2 linked regions of the Alligator mississippiensis genome follow. The protein of the gene in region 2 purifies or fractionates together with the protein of the main gene of each other region. This does not show direct contact. Links are inferred from orthologs where the notes say so. Each region holds a gene or a part of one and is shown on either strand. Other genes may lie near its edges.

Region 1 (7,360 bases), on a different chromosome or scaffold from region 2:
TTTTCACCGCAGCCTCCAGGGCCAGACTGCCTGCTCTGATTCAGGCCCTGGGTTTATATGGCTGGAAGCCATGCTCCATTTGGTCATGTGACTCCCTGAGCTGCCTCAAATGTTTCCCTAGTAAGCTTGCTGACAAGGCTCCAATGCAGCTCACCGCTCCTGGCCTTGCTGCTGCAGCAGGGCCCATGCTTCCCAAGCAGGATTCTTCCCTGCTAGATTATCACAGAATAACCAGCTTTGATAGGCACTCCTAGCCTCTGCCTCTTCCCCTGGCTGATTATTTTCCTTGCAGCCAGCTCTGGCTGCTACTGTTTTCTCCTCAAGTAACAAGAATCTTCTGGCTCTCCATTACACCTCCCCAAAGCGTTTTTCAAAACAAAATTCTTTCCATTTGAGGACTGATGGTGCTGGTGAACTGATCCACAGCACTCTGTAAGCAAAAGGTCCTATTATTATTTCACAAGTGTTATATAACAAAGGGACAGAGAAGAAATCTATTTCCCCGAAGTTAAACTTAACCCAGAACTGTTTAAAGCATACAAAGCCACCAGCTACACACTATTAAGCTACAAGATCTTTTGAACTATTAGGTACAAAGTCTACATTGCCCCTAGTCTTTATTAAGGGAAACTAAATACCTGTTAAAATTCAGATTACAACTCTCAGCGACCAGCAAGGTAGAACTTCACTACAGTTTCTTGCTTGAAGTGATAGAAGTAGAGCAAATGGCACCTAAGAATTACTCCTATTGTGGAACTGTTTTCAATGGAAGAACCATGGGACACTGGACGGAACAATGGGATGGAAAAACTGCATTTAACTCAGATCTGGAGTAGGAAATCCCTTAATATTTCACACAGGTTTCAAACCCAGATATGCTTTCAGCATCAGGGTCACCAACAGCCAATCCCATGCAACTACAGGCAAAAGTTACAGATTTAACTGGGACCTTAGCTTTACCTCTTAATCAAAAAGGATACTAATTAGCACTAGCACTATACTCCTTGTCTTAGATCCCAGTTAAGGTAAAAGTACTGATTCTAATGCAAATATTACCAACTGATACCACCCTTGTAGAACACGGATCCCCTCTAGAGATCTTCCATTCAGACACTGACCATGACAAACTACGGTGAGGTTACAAAATCAAACACCAAAATGAAAGAACGTTGACAGAAGGCCAAAAACATTACTTTAATATAGACTTCCTAAAAATAAACAAACCCAACCTGTGTGTGCTGTGCAATGTGTTCATCATACTTTTCTTGGTTTTTAAAGCCACGGTCACACGTATCACAATAGTGAGCAAAATCTGGTTCTTTTTTCTTTTTGTTCTGCCAAAAGAGAAAAAAGGGGGACAGGGTTAAAGAAATTGATTAAAAATATTGGCTCTTATTTTAAATAAAGTAACATGCTATGAAGAAAGCGTTGAAAATATTTTATATCAATTGGAATTTCAATACTCCAGATATCTGAAATGCAGCTTAGTCTGAAAAGTAATTTTAAATCAAACTACCATATTCCACTTCTCTCAGCTTTTAAAGTCAAATAGGTTCCGTTTACTTTTCTTTTTAAAGCATCAATGCTACCACCAACCCATCCCAAGCTTTGAATATCTAGGTAGACTGAAGATATCAAATGAATCATGAGAAAAAGATTCTTGCAGGAGGCCAGCCCATCTCAACAATAAAGAAGCACCCCACGATACTGAATTTAGGCTTACAGACACATCATGGTGCATGCGCCATGTGTTTCAATTGAGAGTACTCTGTACTTGAACTACACCTGAGGCTGCATGCTCGACATAACAATTATAGTGAGTACCTTCTGTTTGTAGTTTCCACTGCCAGAACGTCTGTAATACGGGGGTGTTTGCTCAGCTTGCCATTCTGAGGCAAAATGGCAGCTTCCACCTTCAACAACACCAGTTACCAAAAAACAAAAAGAAAATTAAAAAGCAGCAATTATAAATTAAAAGTGATAAAAATGCAATGTGAAAATACACCCTATTTCCACCAGGATTATATTTAAGGGAAGGGGGAGCAGAAGAAGAGTGCACAGCCTAAGTTAGCGCTTTTCAACCTTTTTTCATTTGCGGACCCTTAAAAAAAATTGAGTGGGGGTGTGGACTCCTTTGAATTGTAAGCTGGGTATTCGCATACTTCCGATTGATCTCATCTTCTACAGATCCCTTTTAAATATTGTACAGACCCCCAGGGCTACAGGTTGAAAAGCTTTGACCTTAGTTATTGGAGCCAACCTTTCCATAGAACTGCATAGAAGTTGAGCCTGAACGGACCTCCAGAGGTCAACCCCGCCCAAGGCAGGATCATCCCTAATTAAAATCAACCAAAACAAATATATAATCTAACCTCTTTGGAAAACTACTGCCAACCTTTATGCAACACAAGACATCGCACCCTAACCTGCCACAGGTAAAGCAGATGGACTGCAGCAACCAACATCCTGCTTCTGTAAAAGGTTGCCAATATGAACTCAAGAGACCCTGGGTACAGAGAGGTCTGCACCCCACATTAGAGAGGAAGGCAAAACCCCCCACAGCCCTACCAATCTGACCCTGGGGTAAAATTCCTTCCTGCTGCCAAATATGGGGATCAGTCTGACCTGAGCAGAGAAGCAAGACCCTCCAGCCATGAACCTCAAGGTTTATGCCCCAGCAGGAGCACTGGCACACCCCAGGCACAGGCGGTGCCACCAATCAGCCCGAGGGCTGCTCCAATCCCCTTCCCAACCTGCTCTCTGCCCCCGGTGGGATCAGCCACATGCGTCCCATGCACGGGCCACCCCCAGCCTCTGTAACTTGAGACAGCCAGAGCTCGCAGGACGGTGTACGGGCAGCGGCTCCAGGTGCCTCAGCACTGCTCCTCCCGCCGCGTACCTGGGGGCGGGCCCGGGTGCTGCTCCCCGTAGCCGGGCGCCGGCGGGGGCTGGTACCAGGCGCCGGGAGGCCCGAAGTCGGCGGGCGGCCCCCAGAAGCCGGGTTCCCAGGCAGGCGGCGCGCAGAACACGGGGGGCGGCGGCGGAGGATACCAAGCGAAGGGATTCATGTCGGGCCCGACCCTTGCTGCTGCCTCCACATGGACCGCCTCGGGGGCCACCACATTGCGCGTCACTTCCGGGCCCGCTGTAAACACCACGTCCCCCCCTCGTGGCGCAGAGCCGGCCAATGGGCAGCTAGTAACGTCATCGGGCGACGCCGGAAGCGCGGCGGAGTCTGGTTGCGTTGCGCTGTGCCGGCGCTTTTGTTATGGCCCGGGAGCTGATCGGGCCGGCGCTGCCCCCGGGCTTCCCGCGCTGCCCCGAGGCGGACCCCGACGAGGACTTCACGCAGGGTGAGGAGGGGGCGGTGGCCGTTGCTGCCCACCAGCCTCTGCGCTCCGTCGCGTTCAGGCCGCTCCCGGCCTCGGAGCGGGGCTCGGCTCTGGTTGTGGCACGTGTGACTAGGGCAGAGGTTCCCAACCCCCGGGCCGCAGCGGGTTGGCGGCCGGGCCGCACGAGGGTTGGCTACCGGACCGGGAAAGGCATCCGACTGAGTATAAAAAAGGGTTGGCTGCCTCTCCACGGTATGCCGGTCACTTCCACACTGCAGTTTGTTGGTCATGGTCGTTTTTGGGCCACAGCTTGCTGGTCCGTGATCTAAAAAAGGTTGGGAGCCCCTGGACTAGGGTGACTGCCCATCCCTAATTGGGCAGGGCAGTCCCAAAATGGGAACTTCAAGCCCTGGTCCTGGGCTGCATGACTCCAGACAGTATTTGTCCCGGATTTGCAGTATTGTGCAGGGATCTGGGTTTTCCATTCGCGGCACGAAGGTGCTGCTTGGGGCTGAGGGGAGCAGGATGCAGGAGGTGCTGTATGAACATGGCTGGGGATACAGCCAGGAAGTGTGGAGAGCAGCTCCCTGCAGGTAAGTCTGTGAGGGGGGGGGAAGGGACATGGTGGGCGGCAGATTGAGACCCCCACGGTGAGGCAGGGAGTGGGCTAGGGGGCTGGCAGCACTGCCCAGGGTGGGACATGGAGCTGGACGGAGGCACGGGTGGTTCATCTGGGGAGGGAGTACAGGGGGCAGCTCCCTGTCACTGCAGGCACATGTGTCCGTCTGTCGTGTCGTGTGTCCCCCCCTCCCCCCAGTTTTCTGCATGGGGTGGAGTTGAATGCAGGCTTGGGGCTCCCTGCCCTGCTGCCCTTCTCCTGGGAGCCCCATGCTGGCTGTACCCCTCTGGCAAGGGGCAGTGTTGGCGTGGACTTGTGCCCTATGCTGCTCCCGGGTGGACAGGGGGCACACAGCCAGTGCAGGGCTCCCAGGGAAAAGGCAGTGGGGCTGGGAGCCCCAGGTTCACAGCAGGCAGCCCACACCTGCGCCCGCTCTGCTTGGCTCTGCTGCTGGCAGGAAGGGGTGGGGAGGAGAGGCAGAGACATGTCTTGCCTTTCCATTTTGAAGTTAAGTCACCCTGCATGTGACAATGACCCTGCATCTGTGGCCAGTCTACGTTTGTGGCACGATTCCCCAGTGAATTATGCCCATGACTTTTTGCCATTCATTGGTGAAGCGTGCTGTAAATTTAGACTGTCCACACACGCCAAGCAATCTCCCACCATAAAAAGGACTCTCCAAAATTAAAAAGAACCTACTGGCTACAAATTTAGTGCTTGGAAATGTGTAACAGCTCTACAGCTGGTTTCCATCCACCTTTCATTTAAACATGTAGCCGGGTCTTGATGCTGCTGGCTCCTGTTGGAAATGTTCTTGTTTATGTTGTGACTTGCACGCAGACACTCCACGTCACCTTGTAAAGGATATTGAGGCAGCCTAGGGTGGTGTGGGACCTGGCTGAGAATCAATGGATCAGGGGTCCCAGATGTGTATACATACGCCCATGGAAAGATGCAGGGTGGATGTAAAGGTGCACTTGCGCCCCCCCCCCCCCCCCCCCCCGCTTCACCCAAACTTTAAAGCCAACTGCGTGTGGGGGTTAGCGGTCTTTCTGTTCAGGCAGTGATGAGATAGTCAATTGACTTCGTGGCTCATTATCTTCTTCCTGAGTCCTGCTAATCTCTCTTCATTCCACAGGTGTTAAGGATTCTTCCTCCCTTTTATGGTCTTGATCTTCCACTATTCAAGCTATTCTTTCTTCTGCCATTTTGCTGTCTGTTTGCCATTCCTGGTAATGAGTCTCTTCCATTTCACAGCCCTACAGATGCTTTTGATCTCTAGCTAAAAACCTTAACTCAGGTGTGGTCATATTAACTCAGATTTAGACATGACTGACAGTGAAATATTTGAGGCACTGCCAAGACATTCAAAAAGGCTAGATTTTGTTTTGTGAATCTGATAAGAGATGTACATTTAACTATAGTGACTGCAGGACTAATGACATGCTATACTTTATTCGTCTAGTTTGTTTTTTTTCAATTGATACATATGCCTAGCAAATTGGTACACATTCCAATAGTTTGCTGTGATCTTAAACTTAATAATATGGCCTAAGGCCCTTAGGATATAAGTAAAGCGTCTAGTTTCTCTTGAACTGGAGAAAATGTGTCACATGGTGATTTATCATGTATTCTGCACCCCACTTTTCAAAATCCTGGATCCATCCATGCACATCGCCTACCTTGGACCTAAATCTCATTTGCTGCACTGGCAATAGGTTGCTCTGTTGTACGTCAGTATTTATTGCTACTTTTGGCTTGCGTAAGGCCATCTTGTCAAATCCTATGCCATTTATTGGAGAGGTCTGTAATTATTCTTAGTAGAAAGTTTAATTGTATGTCTAGAAATAATTAGCTCATCCCTACAAAAGAAGAGCATTTTTTAAACGCACTGGAAAAGTGTGGGTGGTCTAACAGTAGGGTCCAACCAAGGGTGACCAAGGTATGGTCTGCCACCTGTATCTGGGTTGGGGAGCTGCATCATGCAGCCCACAGGGCTCCACACAGGACCAGAAATTTGGCAGCAGGATGAGTGGCAACTGCATTAATTGCCACAGCTCCATGTTCGTCCTGCCAAATTTCTGAACCTCTGGGTAGCCCCTGCAGGCTGGATGATATGACCTTGCATGCCACATCGGGCCTGCAGACCGGTCTCATGCAACTCATCCAGCTGCTGAGCCAAATGAGTTGGACCCTGCTGTTAGACCACCAACACCAGACAAGATAAAATAGGGCATGTTCATAAATGTCTGTGTGTTTGTGCTTGCCTGCATTTGTCTTATATTTGAAGCAGCCACTTCTTAGCTACCAGGATGCATAGAAAATGAATAACTTGTTTGTGCAAGAAAGACATTATCTTCACTGCAGTTAGATGACTTTAGGCTAAACTTCGTTCGTATCTGTGAGAAGATTCTGTGAAAGACGCTCTGGAATGGGAAACACAGCCGTATAATAATGGCTTTAAGAGAGGTGAACTGAATTCAAACTATGTTAAGTACTTTTAAATAATATCACTTTCCTTCTTAGTTTAAAGGCACAAATACACTTATGGGTCATGTATTTTGAATACAGCCATTGAAGAATGTTCTGACCAAGTGCTGTTTTAGTGGAAAGTATTTATTTGTTGAAACTCAAAATTTTCATGGAAATGTGTTCATTTGCACTATACGTTGTTCAGGAAAGGCATCTCAAACCCAGGTTAGAATTTCTCATCAAAATTGGAGAGAGAGGAGACAGCCCAGAGGTTAGGACACTCACCTGTGATGCGATCAATCCTGAGTCATGTTTCTTTTCTGCCCAAGAGGGTAGACACACAGTGCTTTTACACCAGAGTAATTGGACTTCACCCCAAGTAAAAGTGGAGTAGATGCGAAGTATTCAGCCTTACTCAATGGTAAAATAACCCTTCAGAAAGGCAGTTTCATCCAGGGGTCACTGTTTTAACAGTGCAAACCCTCTCCGTTGTCACCTAGAGGCCAAATGCTATAATAACTCCTCCTGCAGACAGTTAATTTGGCAGAGGGAGTCTGGGTTCTATTTATTAAACATAACTTTGATAAACTTATTGTGAATTTATTACAGAGTAAAATGTAGATAAATTACTCTGTAGTGATAATATCATGTGTCCACACCCTTTTTCAGGTTAGCTGGGTTCTGTAGCTACCAGGCTGTTGGCTATTCTAGGATGGGTTTCCTATTGGGGCTGTTAAACTTTGTTTAAATAATATTCACTAAAGCAAGGACTTGAACAACAAAGTTCCCAGCTTAAGGAACTGACACTAAATCTTTTGAGTAATGTTGCATGTGTGAGCATTGCCCTGGAAGTCACTGACACTATTCATGGAAGCAAAGTTAAATGAACAGCTGTTTGCAGAATTAGATCCTAAAGGTGTTTTTGGCTTATCAGGTC
Region 2 (8,139 bases):
GGTCCCAATCAGAGCCGTTATCCAGTTTCCTAGGTGTGTGCACCCCCCCCCATAACAACAGAACAACACACAAAACCCCCTAACCACAAATGTCAACTTGAAAAAAGTGTGCTTTTTCTAGGGGTGCACCAATAGAGATTTTTGGGCTGATACTGATAGCCAATATTTAAATAGGCATATCCGCGGATACTGATACAATTTCTGATACAGCTGCCTCCAGCTGGTCAGTCCAGTGTGGTGGAAGAGGGGGAGGGAAAGGGAGGGGTGTGTGTGGGGGGGCATAGATCAATGGCCCCCATGGTGAGGGAGGGGGCAGGGGCTGCCCAGGCAAGGCAGGGGCACACCAGAGCTGCAGCTCTTTTGGGGGGAAAGGGGGGGGTGGAAAACAACATGCAGCTCCTGCTTTTGCTTGCACCCTGGGAGGGTGTGGCATGGGCCCCCCAGATCCACGCAGGGGCTCTTCTTGGTGGGGGCTGGACTCTGAGTGGGCACCGACAGTGCTGGGAGGATGCTTCATCTATTCCAAATTTTGCTGCCGCTCTGCTCCCAGTGCCACTGCCACCAGCCATAGCCCCGGCTCTTCCCTGCACGTGGGTGGAGGTGAGATGTTGGGGCAGGGCTGTGCCAGTTAGCTGGCAAAATTTGGGGTGGATGCAGTATCCTGCCAGTGCTGCCAGCACCTGCTCCAAGCCCAGCCCCCACTGAAAAGAGCCCTGCACAAACCCAGCTGCCCCAATCGGGAGGGGTGGGGGGGAAGGAGGACATGGCCAGGACGGGGACAGACATGCCCCTCCCCCACAGCCCTCCCAGGGTGCAAGCAGCAGTGGGAGCTGCCTCCCCCTGACAAGCTGTGGCTCTGGTCCCACCCCTCTCCCTCACCACAGGGTAGGGGTGGTGGTGGTGGTGGTGTTGATCTGCCCCTCCTGTCCTTCCCCTCCCTTCCCCCTCTCCTTCCACCACACTGGACTTCCCAGCTGGAGGCAGCTCTCCACGCTGAGGGCTCTACTCCTCTCTACTCCTCGCTGCCTGAGTGCTGTTCTGCGGCTGCGAGCAGCACGGGCATTTATCAGCCAAGTTATTGGCCCCATCAGGCCAATATCCAATAAAGTACCGATCCAATATCAGACTGATGTATCGGTGCACCTCTAGTTTTTTCGTCTGAGAACACTTCATCTTATTCAAATGGCCTACAGTTTGGATCAGCATGGGCATATATCTACACTACCTCTGTGACAAACCTGGGAGTCCTGCTAAAGAGGATTACCTATCCACTTGCTCTCACTCGCCATGCACCAAAGACCAGAAATTATGCCAAGCCTAGCTGTGTTAACAGAGCCCGGAGAATAAGCCCAGAGCTGCTTTCAGGTTCTGTCTTGGAGGAGCTTCTTGGTTTATGCTCATGCAAAGGCAGAGCAGAGCTGCACCTTGTAGATTAGTTAAACCAGAGATGCATAAGCTTTTTTAAACAAAGGATTTCCTTCATCAGATGATATGAACAGACTGCAAAAAGCAGAGCTTCTAAATAGAAAGCAGTGATTCGAATAAAACAGATACAAAAGAGAGGAAAATGGAGAGGGCACTGCTGTAAAAAAAAAAGTCACAGAATAGAGAATAACACAAAGCAGTTAACTCATTACAGGACATGGGGTTATAAATGCTAATCCAGGTAATGGGACAACAGTCCCTATTTATGCTACCCAATCTCTGGGCACTGGTGCTTTCTGAGCAGGTTGGAGTGGGAAGGATTTGATGGACAAAAAAAAGAAGGTGGTTGAAGAAAAATTTAGTTTTCTTCCTCTTTTGAGGAAGAAAAGAAAAAAAACCTGTTCTTTAAACAGAAATAAGTTTCTCATTTCAACTTTAGCAGGAAGCCAGCTCTGCTCTGAAGGGGTGAAGGCAGTTACCAAATTCCACATGAGATTAGCTCAGGAAGACCCTAACGCAGGTCTGAACCCCTGCCCAGGATCACAACACAAAAAAAGATCCAGCCACCCAGGAACCTTGGTTATCCACTTAGGAGCAATGGTCTCCCATCTTCACTGACCCTTCTCCAAAGGACATCATTTGTCTCGTCATCTCCTCAACCTGTTTTCGCTTTTTGACTTTTTGTAGCTGTCAGGAATATCGGACAGCCTTGCAGGCTCCCATGAGGTATGGGTTAGGGCCCACTGCTTATACACCGAGATACAGATGAGGCCACATGCCAAATAAAATAGAAAAGGGAAATATAATCTTTTCCTTGAGTGTAACAGCAGACTTTGTCACCACTACCCCAGTTTTTGTGTACCATTTTAACAGGCACAGATACTTCTCCCAAGCCAAAAGCCTTTTATAGATCATTCATATTCAATCTGCTCTAAAAGTCAACATGCCTTGTAAACTTGTGTTTTGATACCACGCGTGCCTTACACTTATTTAAAGACAACAGGTGCAAAATATCCCTCCAGCCTTTTTAAGTGCCAGAGGCTTGCTACACCCAGGCTAAGAACATTGCAGAAACATACACTGCACGGACTTGGGGGAGCCTGCAACCAAGAGAAAGAGAGGGAGAGGAAACAGGGGGAGGACAATGAACCGCACTGGTTTTGTAAGTACTGCGGGTCGGGGTGGCGGCCCGCGGGCCCGGCGGAGGAGGGAGCGGCTGCGTGGAGCGGCGCTGCCCCGCGCGGGACCCCACGGGCTGCGAGCGCGCCGGGGGGTGGGGGCAAGGCCACCCCTCAACGGCGCTGCCTGCCAGCCAGCGCCCTCGCGGCGGAGCCCAGGCCTGGCACAGACACCATGGCCACGTGCGCCCGGGCCTGGGCCCGAGCCCGGGCCCGCGCCAGGCCGGTCGGAGCAGGGCCGGCGCAGCAGGCGGAGAGCGGGAAGTGGGCGCCGGCGCCCCGGCCTCCGCCCACACGCGGCGCAGGAGGAGCTCGCCACGCCGGGGCATCAGTCAATGCGGAGCCGCCCGCACCCCACGGCAGAGGCCCCGGCCCGAGCGCGGCGACAGCGCTCAGCTCCCGGCTCGCCTCCTGCTGACCTTGAAGATAGCGTAGCCGGCCGCGGTCTCGAACAGCACCAGCATCGTGCGGCCACGTGTCCAGCCGCTGCGGGCTCGGCTGCATGCGAGCCACAGTCCGGAAGTGCGACGGCCGGAAGTGAGCAGCGCGCGAAGCTGGGGTGGGGGCGGGGCTGGGTGTAAAGTGGGCAGGGGGTGGGGTGGGGAAGATGCATTTCCGCTTCTTCCGCCTGGGCCTAGGCTTTTCCCAGCTTACGTGGCGGGAGGTGGAGGGTGGTGCTAACGTCACGGCCCTCTGAGAGTCGTTAGTCTCGTTCCCCTGAAGGCGGGGCGGGGTTTCGGCGCCGCCTCTGCAGCCGGAGGACGAGGCGTTGTCCTTGCTTGTGGCGGCGCCCGGAGGGCCCCGCGCAGCTCTCGCCCTTCTCGTCCTGGCCGTGGGAGTGGGGTTTGGGTCTCCCCTCATAGCCGTCTTGGCCCACGCGCCCGCTGCCTGTAGCTGAGACCAGGGCAGCCCAGCCCTCCTGCCCGCCCCCCTGCTCCCCCGGGTGGTTTTGCTTTAACGCGTTCAGATAAAAATGGCTCATTTTGGCTAAGATCAAGTGTACTCATTCCTGGCCTTTTATAAGCTAAGAGCACGTGTAGTCCACGAAGGCTCAGGACAAGCCTAGCGGCTTCTTAACCTGGCAGGGGAAATACCACGTAACTGTTCAAGTAGGCAGCTTTCCTGGACTGCTTCACAGGGGTACTGCTCTTCTGGCATGGTCCAGTCCCTGCCGAGCTGCAGCAGCTTTAAGCCCACTTCATGGAAATGGGAGTCTCCTCCTGTTTGCTCTGAGGGATTTACGACTGAGGGCAAGCGAAACTCAGGGGCATCCGAACCCCAAGCCTCGGGGCTTGGGCCTGCAAGTAGGATGCCCGCTGCAGGGTTTGGAAACGTCTGAAGCCCCAGATGGGGATGGAGGATATTTGCTGGTAGTAGGGCCACTTATGGTTTTGGACTCTTGGATTTGAATTTGGTTTTGGCTAATTCGGCCTTGGATACAAATTAAATAAAAATAAATAAATAAATAAAAAAATTCTTACCTGGCGGAGGAAATATAATCACCAGGCCTCTTGTGGGCTAGCAAGTGGTTTTCCGAGGCCTGTCCCTTGTTGCACTCCAGGCACCCCCAGACCCCTGTGAGTTTCCCTAAATGTAGGAGACTTGACTGCAGAATCTTGTGGTAAAGGGGGACTGCTTTTTTGCTTTCCTCCTGGTTTGCTCCTTGACTTTTTGGCTAAGAGCAAGCAAAACTAGGATGCATCTGAACCCCAGGGTCCCTGGGTTGGCACATACCATGTTGGCTACAGATTTGAGGAGTATCTGAAGCCCAAGATGGGTGATGTGAGGCTAGGAAGGAGGATACTTGCCCAGTGGTAGAGCCACATGGACTTGAATGATGGCTCTGCTCAGTTGAAACTTGGAACTTGACTCTTGCGTTTTGTCCAATAGAATTTGGAACTGATTTGGCTCTTCTTCCGTATGGCTTTAGGAGCAAGAGCTGTCGTCACCATTTTAATTCCACATTTCCCAACCAGACCAATGCCCTGCTGGAAAGTAAGTGCAACTCCAAGACGTCTTCCTCAAACTTGTATCTGGGGCAGGATGTTATTATGTGCTCCATGGTTTGGTCAGGGTTTCCAGTCTCAGCCAGGGGAGGTTTTGAGGTGCTTCTACTTCAGATGGCCACACCAGCCAAGTCTAGTGCATATCCTATTAAGGGTTGTCCATGTGCTCTATGGAAGGTTGAAGCTTGGTTGTTGCATTGTTGGGTTGGAAATGAGGTGTTTGTTTAGGAAAGTGTTTTCTGCCCATGCTTTCCTCCGAGGTTCTTCAGTGTTGTGGTATAGCAGGTGCTCGGTTAGTGTCCAAAAGGGTTTTTGTGAGATCATGTGACAAGTTGGGGGATCTTGAAGGATGATCTCTGTGGATGGGAAGCTCCAGATTACTATTGATACACATTATTTCCCTGTATATTGCTGCATCCCATTGAACAGAGGGAGGAGTAATGTATGAAATTACTGGCAGCCACTGCACTGGAGTTGATATCAAAATTCCAGAGATGGTCCTCGTTACTGAGAAGAGTTGTGTGTCGGTGAATTTGGTATGTCAACTTGAGGCCCAAATGGGTGCACGGTACTCAGCTGTTGAGAAGACCAGGGCTTTGGCAGAAGTGCAGAGGGTGGTGGCTTGTGCACCTCAGCTTGTGCTTTTGTTTTCATGGCAGTCTTTCAGAGATGATAATGGTAGGTTAGGAAGCAGTCAAGGTCTACCCAAAGGTAGGTAGGAGTCAGGTTGTGACGCACTTTTTCTTTACAAAAGGTGACATTGAGGGTGTTATGTGCCTTGTGATTGTCAAGATGGAATGTGGAGACAATGAACTTGGTTGGATTTGGTTGTAATCTGCACTTGTGGAAGTATTCAGCCATTATTGATAAATCAGAGTTCAGTGTGGCTTCGATAGCCTGAAAAAAATTTGCTTGTGTGGTCAAAGTGATATCATCGGCTTAGGTACATTGATGATGTGTAGGGCATATCACTTGTATAGATATTAAAAACTATCGGTGCCAGAACACTACCCTGTGGCAGGCTGTTGTTGAATATTCTTGGAGTCAGGCTGACCTTATCTCATAGGTAGATCTTCATCCTTCTGTTGCTCATCAAAGTCAACAGCAGCCGAAGTAATTTGTCACATGGTAGTAGCAGAGACAGTTTGAGCATCAGTCCATGTTCCCACACAGTATCATAAGCTGAGGAAAGATCTGTGAAGGTGGCCCCAGTCTTTAGCTTGTGGTGAAAACCAGTCTCAATGTAATGATGGCAAGGACTTGTTCGCAGCAGCTACAGTGGGGTCTAAAGCCAGCTTGCCTGTTCTTGGGGGAGAAGTAGGTTGATGATGGGGCTGATTCTTAGAAGGATGAGCTGCTCCAGGAACTTATAGGTTGTGCAGAGCAAAGAGATGGGCCTGTAGCTCCCAGGGTCATGTACTAGCTTTCCTAGTTTTGGCAGGGCTATCACCATTGCCTCATGCCAGATTTGTGAAGTATGGCCATTCTCCATCACAGTTGAAAAGAGCCAGAAGCCATTGTTTTGCCAGTGGGTCAAGATGGTGGAGGAATTCTGGTGGAATACCATCTTTCCTAGCAGCTTTGCCCTTCTTTGTGGATGCTAGGCCAGCATCCAGTTCCGCAGGAGTGAAACGGGGTGGATAGTGACAGCCTTGTTATGGCCCACCCTATTAAGCAGTTTCTTGACTTCTTTAATTTCTTGAATCTCTGAATTTTTTAATTCCTGAGTCCACAACTAATGTCACTGGAACAGCAACTGAATGCTTTTAACTGGCCTCCTGGTCAGTGAAGCAAAACTAAACACTTGACATGATTACAACAATCCCTTTCAAGACTAAGCACCCCCAAATTTTGGCCCTTGATCCAAAAAAAAAAGAGAAACCCATTTTCTTTGTTTAATTGAATGCTCCTGTCATGCAGCTGTTTAGTTCTTAATTATTTCTCCTTTTAAAATGTTCAAATTGACCTTCAGAATATCTTGTGTCAATACATGCTCTTGGGCCCCTGCAGCACGTAACATTTGTTGCACAATAAGCTGGTGAGTCAGTCACGCCATAAATTTATACCAGATACACAGGCAAAATAATTCTCACACCAGAAAAATGACTGTCCCATTATAAAAATAGCTGACCAGCTGAAAAGCTAGTGCTTGAAAATGTCTAGCAACTTGATAGCTGGTTTCTATCCAGAAATAATTTGAAGGTATAACAGTGCCCTGATGTATGTGCTTGTGTGTGTGTGTGTGTATTACACTGCAGCAGTCTGGTTCAGCTTCATTGGATGACCAGATTGGCATGTCCTGAGTTGACCTTTTGGCTTAACAAGTTACTGATATGGAGTTGCACTTCTCTTGTTAACAGGCAATCCAGGTGAATTTGTGTATGGACTAGAAATACTTGTCCTAGTTTTTTTTGCTTGGACATGGTTACATTTATGCACATTCAGATCTTGAGTGTTAAGTTGTATGTGAATGTATGGCTGCTCTTCCTGCACAACCTGTAAAATCAACATGCTTTTTCAGTACAGGGGAATGTGGCCAAATTGGATTGCTTTCAAATGTTCATTTGTTCCACCTAATGGTTCACTGTGAAAGTGCATCCTTACTATGTATGATGGTACTTGACCTACTTTCCTATATGCGTTGAATAATTTAAAGGCTGAGTATTAAATGATAAAATAGAAGGGGCCTAAATCAGCCCTTGCTTTAGGTTACCTCCCTTGACTTCATCTTCAGTATTACCTGAATAAAGGAAAAGATTGGGTTCCCAGTACAAAGGGAAAATGAAGGAAGATGGGTTGGGGAGGGGGAAGAAGTTAAGAATCTTAAGAATTGGGTCATACTAAAGGTTGTGTAGCTCAGTGGCCTGTTTCTGACTATGGTGAATACTGGATACATTAGAGGAAGTGTATAATAAACAGCATAGAGCAATCCCTCCACTTTCATACCTTCCAGTCACCTTAAATAGGTTGTGTCCTTGACTGTTCTATTTAATAGACTCCAATGAAGCTATCATCCCTAAACTCACCTGTTCCCTTTGCACTATTGCCCCCCCTCCATCAATGTGGCAGTGAGTTTCACATGTTAATTATGCAGTATTTTTTAAAACCTGTTGCCTGATGATTTCACATGCAGTGAGGCATAGTAAATAACAGTTCCCTATTTACTTCTTCCATACCGTTCATATTTTTATATACCTCTTTAATTTCTCTCCTTGGTCTTCTTTTTTCCAAGCTGAAGAATTGCAGGCTTTTCAGCCTCTCTTCAGATCCTGTTTATCTTCGTTATCTTTCTTTTTTACTTTTTCCTGTTCTAGCATGCCCTGTCTGAGATGACGTGGCAAGAATTGCATGAAGTATTCAAGAGGTGGGTGCACCATGGATTTATATAATGGCATAATGGTTTTCTGTTTTGTCTTCCATTCCTTTCTTAATGATTCCTAACACTTTATTTGCCCTTTGGATCAACACTGCACACTGAGCCAATATTTTTAGAGCACTCTCCACAATGGTGAAGAGTTCTTTCTGATCCT

What was found.
Region 1: the proteins of NOP58 (region 2) and NUFIP1 purify together in Homo sapiens (co-immunoprecipitation; 3 studies listed by BioGRID and IntAct, with this or other methods). This does not show direct contact. The link is inferred for Alligator mississippiensis from reciprocal best matches to the Homo sapiens genes NOP58 and NUFIP1.

The regions. Positions count from the first base shown.
Region 1 is NC_081824.1:410,873,498-410,880,857, forward strand, and holds the start of NUFIP1 (FMR1-interacting protein NUFIP1), read right to left. Parts: upstream 3,145-7,360; 5' UTR 3,069-3,144; coding exon 2,900-3,068; intron 1,914-2,899; coding exon 1,825-1,913; intron 1,335-1,824; coding exon 1,230-1,334; intron 1-1,229. Other genes in the region: GPALPP1 (GPALPP motifs-containing protein 1), read left to right, coding at 3,269-3,353. UniProt on the Homo sapiens protein: Binds RNA.
Region 2 is NC_081827.1:171,307,865-171,316,003, reverse strand, and holds the start of NOP58 (nucleolar protein 58), read right to left. Parts: upstream 3,068-8,139; coding exon 3,023-3,067; coding exon of another isoform or gene 2,939-3,022; exon of another isoform or gene 2,788-2,938; intron 1-2,787. Other genes in the region: SUMO1 (small ubiquitin-related modifier 1), read left to right, coding at 2,939-3,140, 4,534-4,598. UniProt on the Homo sapiens protein: Required for the biogenesis of box C/D snoRNAs such as U3, U8 and U14 snoRNAs. Part of the small subunit (SSU) processome, first precursor of the small eukaryotic ribosomal subunit.